Arabidopsis thaliana: one gene and its partner. The protein of the gene in region 1 binds, or shares a complex with, the protein of each later gene. Each region holds a gene or a part of one and is shown on either strand. Other genes may lie near its edges.

Region 1 (3,849 bases):
TTGGGTTTGTGATGTCTGTACCTTTTTGGGGGATGCAGGGGTGAAAGTGAATGGTGGATATTCCCAGCAGGACTGGTCGTGTGTAAGATAATGCAATCGCAGCTCATAAATCGACATGTAGCAAACCTGGAGATACAAGACCGCTCGTTGTATAGTAAGGATTATGAGCTGTTTTGGCAGTCGTGACAAAGTCTTGTCAGGTAATTTTTCTCAGAACAACTAAAAACAGTCCTGCCCCAAGTTTGGAGTGGGGATTTCAGTTTGTTTTTTTTGTTCTTTTGTTTCTCTTCTTGTAATTCTATTACTCCAGGTGAATAGAATTAGGATACAAAAGAGAAGGAACTCTGATTGTTAAAAGAAAAAAAGTTTATTTGAGGGATATAATTAGGGACAAAAACATGTAATCTAAAGATCCTGTTTGGGTTTCTTGGGGCTCTCGGTTTTGGTTTTGAGTGGATATGGTCGTGTTGGTGACTGGTGAAGATCCTCCTTCAAAGGTTGTATGTAAATAAGTGAGAAACCAGAATGATGATCTATCTACTTGAGGCTGTGCTTATTATATCTGCCTCAGTACACCTGAGTTGTTTTTTGGTGTATATTATTGACAAGAAATGGATTTGGTTCTTGATTTGGTGTGTGCACTAGTTGGGACTTAACTAAGGAGTTTTTTTCAGAATGATCAAAATCAGGGAATAATTTAACTTTTGACTGTCGAGCTCAATAATATCTTTGACTCATTCCCTCATCTTCCCCTTCCCAAATGTTTTTCCCCTGAGATTTCATCTACTTAAAAGAAACTATTCAAAAAGGAACACTTGAATAGCAATAATTAGTTCTTGATGACGTTTATACAAAAATGATCAGAAATTCTCAACCACGAAATCTGTTAAACTTTCCATGAAACAGTAATTTTGAAGAATTGATAACGAAAAGGCAATTATCATGAAAGTCTAAATGACATTCTCATCAAAGACAACCCAAAAAGCTTACTTGCTCCCGAACGGAGGGTTGAGTACAGCCAAAAAAAAACCAAACATAACCGCTGATGTTGAAGCTGCAACAACCCCTTTTCGGATAGACAGAACTCCACCTGTAGCAGCACCCGCTACGATGGAGTTCCATGGATCTTCCTTCTTCCTGATGCGCACCAATGCATAGTCAAATGTTGAGAGCAATCCTCCAAATACAGCAAAAGTGCCTCCCAAGCGAGGAGCATTCATGCTAGCCGCTTGTGTTCCTCCAACATATCGAGCACCTATTGGGGAATTGTATGCCCCTCTCACGAAATGATATACAGAACCTCCAACAGCTCCCGCTCCAAATGCATAACCGATAGCATTGACTATACGGTATAGGCCATGTTCCTTAGATTTCTTCTTAGTGTCCATGTTCCTGACAATGCTAGTTTCTACAGAGGAAGGTCAGAGATCTCACAACAAAACTGAATGAACCAATCATCTTAAGAACAAACCGCATAAAAAGCTGCAAATTTTGAAAAGGGCTAATTATCGAAGCTAAGAAATCCTCCGCTTATGAATTGAGCTCAGCACAAGAATCCGAATACCAGAGATATACATCACAGAAACTAATCTAGGAATGATAGAAATTCTGATTCCATTAAGAGCAAACAAAACGGAGCTTGGTTAAACACTAACCAGAAAAGAAGCAGCAGATTCTAGTGACCGATAATGAAGTCGCTTCTAATCAGAGAGGGCGTGCGAGCCCCCGAAATTAGGGTTTCTAGGTGAAAACGATCGACAATTGTAAATCCTCACTCGTACCTTCGCTCTCGCTCCTCCTAATTTGGACCAGTGTCGCTATAAATTTCTGCAGAACTAACTAGAATGCTATGCCTAGTGAGTGTTACAATTTGTTTTGTCAGAAAAAAAACACCCTGGTCTTTGTTTTTTTTAATAAATGGCTGGAAAGCCACTTTCTCTGGAAAATAAAGCTAGAATGCCACCTTCGTATTTTCATTTTCTTTTACAATTTTGTTTTAAATCAAAAACTAAGGAAAGGTCCAAAAACCCAATTTCAATATTGAAAACTACCAACCCAACCTAAAGTATCCGATTATCCATTCCAAATTTTATGGTCCAACCCTGAACCTCAAATCTTAGTCCATTGGGTTTTAGCTTGCAAAATATATGTTTTGTGGTTTTGTGTGTCCCACTAGTGGCCACGACTTACTACAAGCTCAAGTATTCGCGATTTAGCTGAAGAAAATTGAGCGTGCGGATCAGCCAAATCCGACTTTTCATGGTTCAGGCGAACCGGCAGGGTTTTCGACCCACATTTTGTTCAATATATGAACCAAACTTATGATTATTACGACTCCAATTTTACCAGATACATCCACACACCAAACAAGTCTCATCTTTCTTTACACAGATGGTTTTAGACTTTTAGTTTTCAACTTTAAACAAACAAACAACACGTTTTGCTTATTAGCAACACTAATCTGTTGCTGTTTCTGTATTCATAGCCTTTGTATTTTTTTTTTCCGTGTATCTCAATGTTCCGCCGCACCCGAATGGTAAGCTCTACGCCTCAACTGAGATTCCCCTGATGGCTGTTGCAGATATATCCTCGTTGGATCATTAGGGTCCACGTACCTGCACATACACAATGACGACCACACAAGATTTTATGAGGAACAACAGCTTTTACTACTATCAAAAAACTTTCCGATTGATTTCTGATGGGACTTACGCATGTCTCATCATTTCGTCCACAGGTGTCTGAGCGGCTTGAAGAGGATCAACATGAGGAGCTGCCGCTGCTGCTTCTGCTGCTTGTTGCATTTGTCTGTTGTATTGTCTCACTGATGATATGAGATTCAAGAAGAGAGGAACAAATGTCCCACAACCACCTTCCTTAAATAGGATCTTGAAACTGTGTGTTGAATATAGAGCTCTATGCTCATTTTCTGGCACCACCTGGAAATTTTGTTACATGCCAATAAGTAAATATGTATAGTTTCCTTACAAGGAAAGAAACTATAAATTCTCCATGAAAGTTTGTACTTACAGGCTCCACTTGTCCAGCAATATTGTTGCAGTGAAATATTGGCTGATTAAATTTCTCGGCATGGATGTAAAGCTACAGAGTAACATATAATCCATAAGCTAATATGTAGCATGTAGTTCCATAACCAAATTTAACAGAGCTACACTTGTGCCATGTATTAACTAAATCAGAGACAAAAATAAGATAAAGTTACTGTACCAGGGGCATGTCAAAAGCAACAAAGTTGTCAACAGGCTTGCTTGAAACAAAGACCATCCGTATATTAGACAAGTAAATCACCCCCTTGGCCTTAACATGACCTCCATGCCCTCTGGATCATACAACAAGAAAGAACATCAGGGAAGTGTTTAAAGCCCAGAGCTCATATGTCTGTTCACTTCTGAGACTTATCTTATTTACAAGTAAACTTAATGGTTCATATGCTAGATGAGTGGATCTAAACCGACTCAAAACGGTACTAAAATGGAGACCAACAATAATCATCAAATCAATAAACCACTTAAGGAGATCCAAAACATGCGTGACGAGAGAAGGGAACACGAACCCAGGGATCTTGTCGACTTCAAACTCAACACCATCTCGGACTAGGACGAACATTTCATTAACAAAGGGAACAGGCATCCCATTGGGTAGTAATTGAGGGTTTAGCGCCATGAACTGCAATTCAGATTGATCAAGCCAATGATTATATAATTCCTTGTTCTGTTCTTCTTCTCTGCGTAACCTGATCACACAAATGAGAATATAAACACATTTCCAAATATACTTAGACAATCAGAAGATAATTCAAAGGAACATGCTCCAAATTAGCAAATAATT
Region 2 (3,689 bases), on another chromosome or scaffold:
TAAAAACATGGAAATTCGACGTAGATCAACCAGAAGCTGAAAATGGCAGTACCTGAGATCCACGACTATCTTGATCCTTCTAAGACCCGTAACCATCCTATACCTAGAAGGAGTCGACCTCCAAGATCACATACAAGCAAGTACAAAGGCAACGGTTGGTCTTTTATGAGTTGTGCTCCTTCCAGAGTTCAGTGGGGTGATCTCCCATAGCGTGTGGGGAGTTCCCTTATCTTTGTATATGAAACATTCTTTTAGTTTTGTTCATGTAAAATTCTACACTTTAAAGAAGACTTGTTTATTGATGTAAAGACCCTCATTCGAATGAAGAAATCAGACGAAATGTCATTTTGCAGGTACATGATCTTCTGAAACAAAACAAAAATTCTAAGCAAGCTGCAAAACTGAAAGTTTAAGGCTTTAATAAAAAGATTAGAGGACACTATTTGTTCTTCATTTAGAGCAGCTGATAAGGTCTAGAGACGGTAAGAGTTTAGAGAAGGTTTGCTACACAATATGCCTGAGACTTGAGAACCAAAAACCACAAAACCAAAAGTGACTGATCCATCATCATAAGCTTGTGAAATCTTGGAGACAAAATTAATAGCTAAGAGCAGAGAACAGTCCAGAGAAATAGAACCAGGGGGATATAATAGGTAACAAAATAACACCATCAAATATCAGGTTAGTACTCAATGAGATAAACAGAGGTATACAATTATGTGAACACACTACACCATCCCAATTAACAAAATGATAAGAAAAAACTTGAGAGAAGAGCTTCATTTTCAAATGTAATACAACACATCAGTTTCTCAACGAATCAAGAAAGAGTTAACATTGATCAAAAACAGAAACATAAAACACTAACTAGAACAAACACACTCATGACAAATTAAATTACCAATCGGCAAAACATTTAATCAGTATGAATATAAGAAAAAGGTTTGCAGGTTATTCTTCAAAGTGAAACTGCATTATGACTTGACATACAGACTTGTTGTACCTCTAGAAACCAAATAAAGTTTTCATTTTTATGATTCCAAGACATACCAAACCTATCAAATTCTCACCATTTCCCCTATCAAAAATTTCAACAACGACCCGAAAAAGAGTCTGCCAATTAGACTCTTGCAGTCTTCAAATGGGCACATACCGCTTCACAATTTGCTTCCCAGCTACAACAGCTCCAGCCGCAAGTCCACCAAGAGCACCAGCTACAGCTGCAGATCTCACTCCTCTCGCCGCTCTACAAACAGCTCCGGTTCCAAGACCAGCCACCACACTGGTCCAAACATCATCTCTATCCGTGGCAGCCACAATACCACTCTCGATCCCTGCGTAAACCAATCCAATGATACCAATCCGATTACCCCAAGTTCGACCAGTTTGACCAGAAGAGTTCAAGATCCTGTTGATTTTGAGCTTAGTAGTGTCGCCAGATTCGAAGCTTTTGACTCCAGTGATGACTCCAACAGAAGCTCCGGCAACGGAGCCACCGAGGTAAGCTGTTCCGGTGTAGAAAGTGAGATTCTCACCCCAAGATCTACGTTGCCTTAAAGCCTCCTCCGTGAAGAGAAACTCAGGGGAGGTAGGAAGCTTGTAAAGGTACTGAGATTTGTTGATTGGGACTTCGTAGTTTTGGTAAGGATTGTAAAGTCTTGTGTTTTCGTCTGACCCATGATCGGATCTGTTATTAGCCGCCATCGATGGAAGAGAAAAGTCTAGGTTTTAAGGATTTTGGTGGTGGCTAGAGAGAGAGAGACGACGGAGAGGAAAGAGAGAGAGAGAAACGTGTGATGATGTGGTTGTGTTGTGTCTCTCTGAATGTTTGGTTTGGTTGCCGAAATGAGAAATGAAACCAAACTAAACTAAAAATCTATGTTTAGGGTTTTTAGGGAAAGACTCAGTCCAGTTGTTTCCAGATACGCGCAGTACCAGATTCGCTTAATACTCGCGTTTACGTTTATTTCGAACTTAACCCCATTTATTTTATTTTCTCTATTTAAACCCAAGTTGGTTTTCTCTTACCACCACACACTGTATTTGCTGATATTTCGAATGTGACCCCATAAGTTTAATTTTTACAAAATTAACCTCTTCAACATTGGACTTTTCAAAGTCATACTTAATTACTTTGCAAAATTGCAATCCATCGTGACAACCAAACATCCTCGAATTTTCAGGTGTTTCTCTTATAATGTCAGAAATATTTTTACGACGAACGAACCTAATTTTATGAATTTTTTTTGTCATCAGTTTTTATTTAGAGAACTAAACTTCAAATAAAATAATTAAGGATTCAAATACAAAGCTTATTTGTTTTTAATTTAAGTCAAAAGGCCAAAAAAAAAAATTCGATTTAATTTCGAGAGCGTAAATAGAAGACAAAATAAAAAGCATAAATTCGGAAGTAAATAATCGAAAAAGTTTTGCAAACTGGAAACCTCCTCCCGCAGTCACACAACTGCGCAGAGCCAAAAATAAACGAAACCTCCGGCGAAAGCTACGGCGAAGAGACTGCGTCTAACTCCGTTTACACGCCGATTGTCTTGGAGAGAGAGAGAGAGCACGAGGTAAATCACGCAAGGGTTAGATGGGAAACCAGAAACTAAAGTGGACGGCGGAGGAAGAGGAGGCGTTACTCGCCGGAATCAGAAAGCACGGTCCTGGAAAGTGGAAGAATATTCTCCGGGATCCAGAATTCGCTGATCAGCTCATCCATCGCTCCAACATTGACCTAAAGGTTTCTCTTTTCTTCACTCACCTCTTTAAAATCACTCTCGTTGAACCATATATTAAACCTAGACATCGAATTTGAGACCAACCCGGAGTGCATTATGTACTCTGTCGTATCTGCTTAGTTTAAGATCCATAAAAAATCAAAACTTTTGGCAATAGGTTTTATTAGTGTTGCCTCTTATCATTGGTTATAGGATTAGAGATTCCTTGGATAGATTATAAGTTTTTTTTTTTATTGATTCAAGTGTGCAATACCTAAAGCTAGCTTGGTTGAGTTGGAGATTTGAGGTGGAAAGAGTAGTACTGTCCTTCATTTTGCTATGGATTTCTTTTACTTGGTGGTAGTCTTATGAAGAAGAGTTTGAAAATTTTGTGTGTTTCAATACTTAATAGGATAAGTGGCGTAACTTGAGTGTTCCCCCTGGTACTCAAAGTTTAACTAATAAGGCACGGCCAGCAAAAGTCAAAGAGGAAGGCGACACTCCGGCTGCAGATGCAAATGATGCTGTCACTATTCCACGGCCTATTCCTACTATTCCACCTCCTCCCGGTCGGCGTACTTTACCTTCTGAGTTGATCCCTGATGAAAATACAAAGAATGCTCCTAGGTTTGTCTTTCTTTGTTCTCTATTTCTCATACTTGAGGCCAGAAAGTATGATGAGAGACTAGTTCCATAAATGCTAGTCTATCAACTCTGAGTAATAATCTTCATCATGTATTGCTAAACTTCTGATATGTCCCTATTTTCAGGTATGACGGGGTGATATTTGAAGCTCTCTCTGCTTTAGCCGATGGTAATGGATCTGATGTCAGTTCCATTTATCATTTCATTGAGGTTTGACAAATTTCTCTCTGCTATTTATTATGCACAGATCAGAAAATTATATGTGCTCGCTTTGTAAACTACTTAACAGATTATTAGAGACATCATCTATATATGTGGGAGGGA

The links.
Region 2: TIM17-3 (region 1) and TIM23-2 share a complex: the UniProt entries of both Arabidopsis thaliana proteins name them as parts of the TIM17:23 complex.

What each region holds. Positions count from the first base shown.
Region 1 is NC_003076.8:3,759,298-3,763,146, reverse strand, and holds TIM17-3 (translocase inner membrane subunit 17-3), read right to left. Parts: upstream 1,960-3,849; 5' UTR 1,656-1,959; intron 1,409-1,655; 5' UTR 1,389-1,408; coding exon 987-1,388; 3' UTR 801-986; downstream 1-800. Other genes in the region: AT5G11700 (ephrin type-B receptor), read left to right, coding at 39-186; AT5G11680 (classical AGP protein), read right to left, coding at 2,513-2,615, 2,713-2,939, 3,031-3,102, 3,229-3,340, 3,575-3,684. UniProt on the Arabidopsis thaliana protein: Essential component of the TIM17:23 complex, a complex that mediates the translocation of transit peptide-containing proteins across the mitochondrial inner membrane. Links the inner and outer membranes.
Region 2 is NC_003070.9:27,381,592-27,385,280, reverse strand, and holds TIM23-2 (translocase inner membrane subunit 23-2), read right to left. Parts: upstream 1,917-3,689; 5' UTR 1,726-1,916; coding exon of another isoform or gene 1,705-1,725; coding exon 1,138-1,704; 3' UTR 757-1,137; downstream 1-756. Other genes in the region: AT1G72755 (uncharacterized protein), read left to right, coding at 1,463-1,500, 1,698-1,725; AT1G72740 (Homeodomain-like/winged-helix DNA-binding family protein), read left to right, coding at 2,594-2,743, 3,133-3,347, 3,491-3,575. UniProt on the Arabidopsis thaliana protein: Essential component of the TIM17:23 complex, a complex that mediates the translocation of transit peptide-containing proteins across the mitochondrial inner membrane. Links the inner and outer membranes.